Schizosaccharomyces pombe: one gene and its partners. Changing the gene in region 3 together with the main gene of any one other region gives a genetic interaction. Each region holds a gene or a part of one and is shown on either strand. Other genes may lie near its edges. The genes, in order: pph3, syj2 and amo1.

Region 1 (3,758 bases), 930 kb from region 3:
AGCATCTCTTGCAATTCACCATTTTCAATCATCTCCGAAACAATATCTAAACCACCGACGAATTCACCTTTAATGTACAATTGAGGGAAAGTTGGCCAATCGGAAAACACTTTAAGACCTTGGCGTACAGAATCATCAGCCAATATGTTAAAAAATCCATACTGAACGTTTTGCTCACGAAGTAATCCAACGAGCTTACGACTAAAACCACATGCAGGTTCTGAAGGAGTACCCTTTAAAAAGAGCATAACATTGTGAGCATTTGTTAGCGTGCTCAACCTTTCATTTAGTTCAGAATCCAACCCATTTGGAGCTTTAGAGGTATTGGAAGTAGTGTTGGTAGTCTGAACGGAATTTACTTGAGTTTCCACGGACGCGTTGGTAGAGGATATTTGGGAGATAAGGGGTTGAATATACTCGTCAATAGCAGCCTTCAATTTTTGAGGATTTGCCCCCGAAATTCTAGCCAAAACTTTTGCTCCGTGGATTAAAACAAATAGAGGAACAGCGTTTACATCAAACGACTCTGCTATATCGGAAAATTTTTCAGCTTCAATTTTTAAGAAAACGGCATTTTTCGTGTCCTTTGCAAATTGATCAAAGACTTGGTTCATTTGCTTGCATGGAGCAGCCCATGGTGCATAAAAATTGAGTAAAATTATTTGCTCTTTTCCATTTTGCAATATCTCTTGAAATTGTTCAACAAAAGTAATTTCGACGCTCATTTCCAATCAAAATAGCACAGCTTGAGGAATTATTTCTTTTCCTACTTTTTTTTTCAAAAACCTAGTTTATTCTTTTTAATCAACAATCAACGCCCTATTTTTTCCTAGTTGGTTGTCGGCAGGTTCGGCTGAGCAGTGTAGAAAACGTATCTAGTAAAATCTCTTCCTTGCACAATAGGCGACGCAAATGATATAATTGCAGCAAAAAACATATCCAAGTAAATTACTCGAAATTTTTTAGTTAAACCACTTTTGATGTACGTTTTGATGATTCTTCTTCACTTTTTTCATTGTCTATTCATTAAACGGCATTCTCGATCTCATTTTTTTAATTACCATCGTGACTGATCAGATAACTTTATCCCTCGGTATTAAAACGTCTGGAAAATAATTTTTTCGGCAAAAAAAACTAGTGTGTTGCGCTTATACTCCGATTCTACGTAATACCCAAACAATTCTGTTAACATTTTATTTTTGTATGTTGTACATAAAATTAACAGTCGCTTTACTAGCCAAATGAGTTTATAACAAGCGACCAAAACAACCAAGATGAGATATGTTTCATACTTGATAAAAACAACAGCATACACATTGATTGATATAGTTAAAGTATTAAAAAATTGCATTGTACTGCTCAGGGCAAGCATTTCTTACACACCTCATTCTTTTGATAGTACGCAAATTGCAGTAAACCATATTGAAAGATAGAAAGAATATATTTCTAAAATCTTTTTAGTTATTTGAACATCTTGAGTTGCCGACTGAACATAAGTAAAGAATAGTATGCAAATTATGTTAAAGCTTCACATAAATTATGGGTTTGCAACACGAATTGACTATACAGTTTTTCTATATTGAGTGTATATTCCGCCACAGGGGTACGCCTTCAGCATACAGATTATTTTACCTATAATTGTGAGTGTTATCTGATTTTTACCAAGAAGCTATAGTGTTATGTAGTTTATTTCACAAAAACCCTATAACATCAAAGCTGCGCATTTGTGCGAACAATTTAGATCCGTTAGAACTATAGGAGTTTTTCTTATAATCTAGATATATATATGAGTAGGTGCACGTTCTTGTATTAGCGTTATAAAAACTCAAGATCAATGATAATACGGCATGCTATAATAATCATACTGGAGTAGCATGCAACTTAATTAAAAGATTCTAGTTCATCATTAATTTTAAGTATAAATGATTAAAAAAAAACAATCTAATACAAAAACTTGTGTCCATTTCATTTCGAGATGAAAGCACTAATAATGGTGGAGCAACCGTATTTTTCTGAAAAACAATCTAGCGTAACGCAACGTATGTGTCAATAAAATTCGGAAGCTGCTAATTAAGGAGGTCATGTTAATTATTTTAAAAGTCATTATCAAAAGGAAAACCGAATTTTAGTCACCAAAGCTCTACGCGTCATACCTCTTGACAGAGGTATTTTGACTTATTTAAAATTAAATTTCTTAAATGATACATAAAGTTGAAAAAGAATTTCACTTGTTTATTTTCTTATTCTAAAGGACCAAGTTATTCTAGTTTTCTTTACTTTATGTTTTGACGAGTTCAAAATGACTGATTTAGATTTGGATTGGCAACTTGAGGAACTGGAGAACGGAAGGTTAATTCCAGAATCAAATGGTATGTATAATAGTATTTATAGAATAACTTTTATCTCCGTCGATATAACAACGATCATTCATATTGGTTGTTCTTTGCCATAATTATAAGAATGGGGTCTAACGTTTTGTGGTAGTTGTTGAACTTTGTCAGCGTGTAAGAGATATTTTAATTGAGGAATCTAACATACAATGGATCTCATCTCCTGTAACCATTTGTGGTGATATCCATGGCCAATTGCATGATTTACTGGAGCTTTTTCGAATTGGTGGGTCATGTCCAGGTACAAAATATTTATTTCTAGGGGATTTTGTTGATAGAGGGTTTTACTCTGTAGAAACATTTCTCCTGTTATTGACTTTAAAATGTAAATATCCGAAAGAGATGACCCTTATCCGGGGAAATCATGAATCACGACAAATAACACAAGTTTATGGATTTTATGACGAATGTGTAAGGAAATATGGTTCTGCCAATGTATGGCGATATTGTTGTGAAATATTTGATTATCTTTCGCTTGGTGCTTTGGTGGATGGAAAGGTTTTTTGTGTGCACGGTGGACTTTCACCAAGCATCAGCAGTATCGATCAGGTATGTTATTAATTCCGAAAATTTGAACTAAACTTTTAACGCTTTTTATGAAGATTCGACTGTTGGATCGAAAACAAGAAGTTCCGCATGAAGGAGCAATGTGTGATCTACTTTGGTCAGATCCAGAAGATATTAGTGGATGGGGTTTATCTCCCAGAGGTGCTGGATTTTTGTTTGGTGCCGACGTTTCTGAAGTTTTTAATCGCGCTAATGACCTTTCATTCATTGCTCGTGCTCATCAATTGGTTATGGAGGGTTACAAAATCCATTTTTCCGATAAAGATAAACAGTATCCCAAATTTACAAATGAAGAGGACTCTGAGCTGGATTCAGATTCTGCCTCACCTGTTGATGATTCTCCGGCACCTGGAGACATAATAACCATTCCAGAAAAGGATAAAGGAAGCGTGGTTACTGTTTGGAGTGCACCCAATTACTGTTACAGATGTGGAAATGTTGCTTCTATATTACAACTTGATGAAAACCAAACGCAATCCTTTAAGATTTTTGGTACTGCCTCTCAAGAAAGATCTGGCATTCCAACAAAACGACCCATTGCCGACTACTTTTTATGATTATTCAAAATTCATTGCTCTACTTCACTTCCCCAATATCATGTATATAGGTCAACTTGTACTAAAGATTATCCCCTTAACTCTTCTTATTGGTCTCTCATTTTTAATTCTGCACTTATTTAATTCTTGTTTATGGAATTTGGTTATTTTAGCAATATTGATTTGTTTAGGACATCATAAATTTAAAAAGTAATTAAGTTAAATTTTAATTGTAACTTTTTTAAGCTAACTTTCAACGCACAAG
Region 2 (3,758 bases), 2.3 Mb from region 3:
TCGGTGGACAAAGTATCAATCAAAACTTGGATTATCAATTTACAGAAAAGGATGAAACAGAAGACTTATATAGACTCATAAAGCGTGTATTGACAAATCATCCAGATCTCGAAGCCGTTTCTACCGGCGCTATACTTTCCACATATCAACGGACTCGAGTAGAAAATGTTTGCAAACGGTTAGGTTTGAAAAGCTTGTCTTTTCTTTGGCAAAAAGATCAGGAAAAATTACTCAACGATATGGTTGTTTCTGGTTTGAATGCCATCTTGATCAAAGTAGCTGCAATTGGCCTTACGAGGAAGGATTTGGGGAAATCTCTAGCTGAAATGCAAGATAAACTTCTTACCCTAAATAAAAAATTCGAACTGCATCCTTGCGGTGAAGGAGGTGAATACGAAACATTGGTTTTAGATTGCCCATTGTTCAAGAAGCGAATTGTTTTGACTGATAAAGAGGTTGTTGAGCATTCTTCTGGGGAAGTCTGTTATTTGAAAGTTAAGGCCTGTGTTAAAGATAAGCCTGAATGGCAACCTATCTCGCTGAAAAGTGAATTAGTTCCAAATGAAGAATTACTTGGGGAAGAATATTCACATATTTATCATACTATATCTAAAAAATACGAACTTATTGACGATCAAGAGGAGACGCCTACTTCTCTTATCCCAATTCCTCTTCGTGAAAGCGCCTTTCAGCAAAAAAAGGGCTCATTTTTAGTATTGGGTAATGTGGTTGCTACCAAAGGATCTTATAACACGTTTCAAGGTGAAGCTGAATCTGCTATAAACAACTTAAATGGTAAGTTACATATTGATTGTCTTCGTTAATCATATTCTTGATTCGGCTATGCCACCGAACATTTCCTTTAAACCGCTAGAATACTAACTTCCTAGAACTGCTTGGTACATATGGATATTCTAACAAAAATGTTTACTTTGTAACCGTCATTTTATCTTCCATGTCTAAGTTTGCAGAATTTAACTCTGTTTACAATAAATATTTTGATTTCACGAACCCACCTTCCCGGTCTTGCGTCGCAGCTCCTCTAGCTAGTGAGTATAGGATAGTCATGTCCTGTATTGTTGGAGATGTAACCGAGAAAAGAGCGCTTCATGTTCAAGGGCAAAGTTATTGGGCGCCAGCCAACATTGGTCCATATTCGCAGTCGATCTGTGCAAATGGTGTTGTTTTCATTTCTGGACAAATTGGTTTAATACCATCAGTTATGGAGTTAAAACTTCATGACAAAATATTTGAGATGGTACTGGCTCTTCAACACGCAAATCGTGTTGCAAAAGCAATGCGAGTAGGTTCACTCATAGCATGCTTGGCATATGTTTGTGATTCTCGTGATGCGGATTGTGTTGTTAAAATTTGGTCAGAATATACAAAAAATACTGGGGAGTCAAGTCCTGTTTTGGTTGCGTTGGTTGATGCCTTACCAAGGAATGCCTCAGTAGAATGGCAATTGCTTTACAATGATAGCTCTTGTGATGTTCCACTTCTAAGTTCACTCGTTACAAATCAAACGCTTTTTGGTTCTGATACAGCATGGGATGTCGCCTTATTGAACCAAAATGGTTTACGAATGGAGTCCTCCTTTATTCATCATGAACATCCTTCCGCATATGCTATCGTATTGAACAATGCATTTCCAAATTCTCAGTTATTACACGTGCGTTATACAGCTAGAGATCAAAATGTATAACTTAATGTACATAGGAATTAGATTGTAATGAAATGGTCGAACTTAGCTTTTACACAACTTTTTTTACTGTTTTCATATATACAGGCCAAATTAAAACGCTAAAAAGCGTATTTCTTACGCATATATATTCGGTAGTTTGGCAATTTGTATAATATAATTGATGATAACAAGCTGAAGTTTATCAGGTTTTCAACCAATACGATTAAATAAATATTTTCAGGACATTCCTTTTGTTTCAACGCTTAAATTTAACTTTTTCACTGGAAATCTACAATACTTGCTAGCTATGTGTATCTCCTTACTGCGTCAGTATATCTACGTATTTAGTGTCTACCATCCACGCAAAGCAGGAAATAAGCATATATTTATTTCCTGCCATGCAGTGCTATCTCAAACGAAAAGAAAGATCTGTTGCATTTATTACAGAGAAATATGCGGCAATTATTCAAAAACCGTCTGTTAAGGATTCTGATTGCATAATAACATTCACTTGTATCTCACTTGAAGAATTCGAAAAGATAAAGGAATATGAATTACTTTTTGGAGGAGAGAAGATATTGGGAACCCTTGGGTTGTTTAATTATGTATGTGAGGATATGAAAGAAGGCGTTTTCCTATGCGTTGCCCGGAAAGCAAAACTAGTGCTTCGAATTGGTAATAGAGACCCAATTTCGAAACTTGAAAATGTCTCCTTCATCTCTTTAGATCAGGAATTATGGGATGAAGAGTTGTTCGAACCCATGCCTCGTAATAGTTCACCAAGCTCTACTTTTTCGACAAGCACTTCTGACTTGAATAATATTGAAAAAGATAATTTGGTTAATAGCGAATATTCTAGTAAATACTCTTCAACTACTAGGATATATCCATATCATTCCCTTTCTCAATTGACCGATTTGCTCACCGATGGTTCATTTTATGTCTCTACAAATATTTCTTGCTTTTCAAGGTTTCAATCCGAGCAGCCTTATGGTCCCAAAGATATTTATTGTTGGAATAGATTTCTCATAACGGAATTGGATAACCACTTCTCTGAAGCCCATATTTTGGAGAAATTCCCGAACCTGTTGCTCCATTGCTTTCGGGGTTATGTTGAGAGAATGTTCATTGATAGTATGTCTATGAGTATAATCTCCAAGGTATCTAGTTATGGCTCTCGGCAAACATACCCTCCCTCTGGTATTGATGATTCGTCTTATTGTTCTATGTTTGTGGAGACAGAATTTATTGTCGAGATCGCACAAACGGTCTTTAGCTTCGTACAAGTTCGAGGGACAGTCCCATGTTTCTGGGAGGAACAATTCTCTTCTTGGTATGGACCCTCTATTTCTTTTTTGAGATCTTCGCAGGCAAGTCAAAGTCTATTTAATTTTCACTTTAGTAAGCTATACAAAGCTTATGGTGATATATATGTAATCGATCTTTTACAAACAAAAGGCTTTGAAGCTTCGCTATATGAAGCTTACAAGCATCACCTTATGCTTCTACCTTTTCCTGCCGTTGTCAAGAAATTCCACTTTACACCTGATCCTGCTCGTCCTGACATTGATCCACGATTAGAGACCGATTTGGCCGACGATTTAAAAGAGATGGGCTATACTCAAAAGTCTATTGAAAATGACATGTTGGAATCTTTCCAAAAAGGAGTGTTTCGGATTAATGATTTGGATTGTCTGGGACGCACAAACGTTATTCAGTATCAAATATCTCGATTAGTATTAAAGGATATATTTTTTAACCTTCAAATAGGAGTAACTTTCAATATTCTTGAATACCTAAGACATCTCTGGTCTAATAACGGTGATGCTATTGCGAAACTAATTACAGGGGTTGGCTCCATTGGTTCAAGCGCTACCCGTAGAGGTCGTAAATCTATTGCGGGATCTTTAAGTGATATATCCAAATCTTTTGGCCGCATGTATGTTGGAAGATATCCAGACGTAGAATCTCAAAATGCCATTTTATTGCTGTTGGGATGTTTTCCGAATCAAAGTCCCGTACTCATATCTGAATCCGTGTCTTCTTACATCCAAGGTGTGCTAAGACAACGTCG
Region 3 (3,758 bases):
CCGACCTCTGTAGGTGGATTGACTAGGTAAGAAATATTTGCAGACATTTAAAGAATTAAATAAAATTGAGATTTATATATAAATAGCCATAAACAAAAGTTTTGGGTTCTTGCAAAAATCTGGAGTGAATTGTGTGTGGAATTGGGACAACCATCTCTTTAGACCCAATAGGCGTGCAGGACAGTTCTGTCCTCTATATCAAATCAGCTATCAGTTTGATTCATGAATTAATAACAAAAAATAGTACTGTTTTCTTTCTAGAATTTTACAATGATACATAAATCGAGTTAGGTACAACTTTATCAGATAGCCGTGTAGGAAAGCATCACACTTTGTCTAATACTCGTAATTGAAATTACATATATATATATATATATATATTTACAACCTAATATCGAATATGAAATTTGAACAAAGTTTAATACTAATCAAAAATCCCCGAAAAAACTTACGTTGAATAACTATTTTAATAAAATAATTAACAAAATTGTGGTGGAGGGGCTGTTGTTGGAACTTTTCCGGGAATGAAATCTTGAGCTTCAAATTGCTGAATCATTTCTGGGGGAAATGCGAGATTTTGATTGGAATTACTCATTTCTACTTGATCATCCAAAGTTTGGATAGAAGAAGCACCTATTGGATTAATCGGACCTGTCGATGATCGTTAGTCATATTCGTATACTAGCAAGGATACAAAGTAAAAAAACTTACCGTCAATTGTGTTAGAAGATCCAAACATAGGAGTTTGGATTATATTTTTGTTAGCAGGATTATCGTTAGAAAATCCTGAAGCGGATATTTTAGAGGTTACATTGGCAAATGGAGATTCAAAAGTAGTATTAGGCGGAACAAAAGGGCCTTGAGGTTGTTGCATAAAAGTAGCAGGGGGCTGAACAGTAAAACCATTTGGGTTCACTGGTTGTGTTAAAGATGTATGACCAAAAACTGGTTGTGAATTATTAGGAAGCGAGAATTGAGTATTCAAATTTTGAAAAGCTGATTGCTGAGGCTGATTCTGTATTCCAAAACCGCTGGCAACAGTAGGACCGAAAATCGAACTTGGATCATTCACATTTTGACTTTGTGAAAACCCAGAAGCAACTTGTGAAAACGAGGAGAATGATGAGTTAGGAATCCCTTGTCCGGAATTAACAAATGACGAATTTGGCTGAGATATTCCCCCAAATGCTGATGGCCCTGAGGTTGCCGAACCAAAACTAGACGAACCAAAAGAAGATGGGTTGTTTTGGACTGGATTACTTCCCGTAAATGAATTTGAGGATGTATTTTGAGAAAATGGAGACGCATTTAATTGCGATGTAAATGCAGAAGTCGTAGGGGCGCCAAAAATATCGTTTGCTTGCTGATTGTTATTGAAAGAATTATTGTTATTTGAAAAAGAATTGAAAGGACTATTTTGAGTTGGCTTGTTGAACTGATTAGACGTAACCGTTGAATTGCTAGTAGACTTATCAAAAATTGACTTATAATTTGTCTTTCCGACGAGTTTATTTCTCATTTCATCGAAAGCAGCAGCAGGCGACCGTTTAACGGCTGCTGCTTTTGCTTCTACATCATCCATCAACTGTTTCTGGCGTTGTTCATATGCTTGCATATTGTTTGTCGCTTTAGCCTGATATGCCCACCACCGCAATTCTTCAGGCGAAACATCGCCTTCATAAATTGATGGTAGATTCTCAACTACTGAATAACCTGTAAAAGGCCATTGTGGTTTTGCGTTTTTAAGATCGTCGTTAATATCCTTCATTCTTCTATTGGGAAGCAAATTATCTAAATCGCTTCTCTTCAAACGCCTTTGTACCCATATTGGAGGTCGTCCATTCTCTGGACGAAAGACATTAACCTTAGAAAATGCATTTTGTCCATTAGAAGGTACCGTATGTTGATTTTTACAATTGGTACCATACCTGCACCGATTTTGAAGGAAATACTTACAAACGACCATGTTGTTGAATAGTTGAAATGATATGCTAAAGATAAGTATAAAAATGTATCATAATCATATGTTATACTCCAAATTTTCTTATTTTTAGAGTGGGCGTCCCATTTGGAATCGTAGTGTGGTGTAGCGTTATTGCTCCAATTAATCATAAAGTAAAGGAATTCAAAGAACAATTATACCATCATTGGGAGTCTGATTTTTTAGTTGTTGATGATTCAGAAGGTAAAATAAATCCAATAATATTATGAATCCAATGCTTATAGGAGACATTTTCTTTTCGCCAACTGCGAGATATTAGCGCCTTCATGAATTTTACTGTAATTCCTTGTTCATCCAAGAATTCAAGTAAACTTGACTTGATAGAAGCTGGAACGTGCTTTGTTTTTCTGCCAGTGTACTTCTGTGATTTTTGTAAAATTAACCTCAAGTCAGATGAGAACGCTTGAGAGTTTTGAGGTGATTGAAAAGAAATGCTATCAAAATGAAGCATGCCCTTACAAAGTATTAAAGCACACAAAATTGTGCCATGGTTCTATAATTGTAAGTTATAATAACATGTTAAGATCTTACGTTAGTGAGTTGGACATAAGCAGGAATTGAATGCTGAAAGAACACTAGTTCATCAGATGTTTCGTTACCATTTTCATTTTCAGCACTATGCGTTATCGGCTTTGTTTGGACGTAACTTTTACGAGAGCTATATACGGGAACAGTAACGCGTATTCTAGCTACGTTAGTACTATTATATCGAAAGAAATTTAAAGGCTCTGCTGAAAGCATAATCTTAAACGTTGTATATTAGCCAACGCATAGACATGAAATCACATCGTTGAATTCAACAAACAATTGAGGAAAAATAGCTTACCTTTCCTTTGCCGTTTCTTTTAAAGCTGAAATGTAGTTAAGCGAAGGATCTTCATGGATTATAAAAGAATGAAGAGCCTTTTCGTATCCTTTTTTAGGTAATGTCTCATCAAGAACCTGTTTCACGTAACCCAGTTCAGAATCTAATTTCAACGCTAGTTGCTCCGTTAGGATACCACTTGTAAATTTTCGTTTACTACGAAACATATCAAAGTAAGAAAACCTCCTTTCGCAATTAAATAAAGGATATTTAAAGTTTCGTGCTGTAGAGATCGCTTTTCTGAGCATTTTGAAGTGCAATAAGCTGAAGAATAGAATTGTTACAAGCCGTCCAACAAAGATTTGCTTCTTCAATGGATTGATGAATTGTACAGATTATAAATATTTAATGCAATGGGGCATATGACAATAAGCACTTTAACTGAATTTGCTTCCTTATGAGAAGTACGCAAAGCAGTGACTTTAAAGTAATACAGCGGTTTTCACTAAAGTGCTTGTATACCATAGCAATGGATGAAGAAAATAATTAATGGAAAAATCATTATTGTAGACATCTGATTAAAGAAAAAAATAAAGAAATTAAGACTATGAAATTCTTTTTCCTGGTTTTTTAACGGCGTCGATTATAACCATAATGATGAAGATGCGGTTTTTGAATGAAATTGAAAAAATTGGCACAAAATTTTGAAAACATGACTAATAATAAACGTGATGGTAATTTCCGTTTGGACCATGCTGCATATAATACGGATTCGCATACCACAAACCATTCTCACGTTTGGTAAACGGACGATAAAACGCAGAATATGAATGGTTTATTTTAGCTTCAACATTGTATAGAGGGGGAAACTGGCATGTTTCTTTACGATTATAATGATTTCTACTTTTTCGGTGATTAATTTGTGGAATCCAAGTTTTAGCTCCGGGGTTC

Evidence for each region.
Region 1: mutations in amo1 (region 3) and pph3 together harm fitness more than expected from each alone (negative genetic interaction), as found in Schizosaccharomyces pombe (one large-scale study listed by BioGRID).
Region 2: mutations in amo1 (region 3) and syj2 together harm fitness more than expected from each alone (negative genetic interaction), as found in Schizosaccharomyces pombe (one large-scale study listed by BioGRID).

Annotation. Positions count from the first base shown.
Region 1 is NC_003423.3:3,954,471-3,958,228, reverse strand, and holds pph3 (serine/threonine protein phosphatase), read left to right. Parts: upstream 1-2,142; 5' UTR 2,143-2,299; coding exon 2,300-2,369; exon of another isoform or gene 2,370-2,484; coding exon 2,485-2,939; exon of another isoform or gene 2,940-2,973; intron 2,974-2,992; coding exon 2,993-3,514; 3' UTR 3,515-3,677; downstream 3,678-3,758. Other genes in the region: CIA machinery monothiol glutaredoxin Grx4, read right to left, coding at 1-725.
Region 2 is NC_003423.3:773,691-777,448, forward strand, and holds the start of syj2 (inositol-1,4,5-trisphosphate 5-phosphatase 2), read left to right. Parts: upstream 1-2,030; 5' UTR 2,031-2,082; coding exon 2,083-3,758. Other genes in the region: dph6 (endoribonuclease), read left to right, coding at 1-795, 891-1,705.
Region 3 is NC_003423.3:3,028,227-3,031,984, forward strand, and holds amo1 (nuclear rim protein Amo1), read right to left. Parts: upstream 2,000-3,758; 5' UTR 1,967-1,999; coding exon 712-1,966; exon of another isoform or gene 652-711; coding exon 479-651; 3' UTR 459-478; downstream 1-458. Other genes in the region: met3 (cystathionine gamma-synthase), read right to left, coding at 1-47; SPOM_SPBC15D4.11C (Mam33 family protein), read right to left, coding at 2,145-2,495, 2,534-2,687, 2,829-3,115; protein mug98, read right to left, coding at 3,524-3,758. UniProt on the Schizosaccharomyces pombe protein: Involved in the cell polarity process where it is required for the correct termination of microtubule growth at the cell ends during interphase.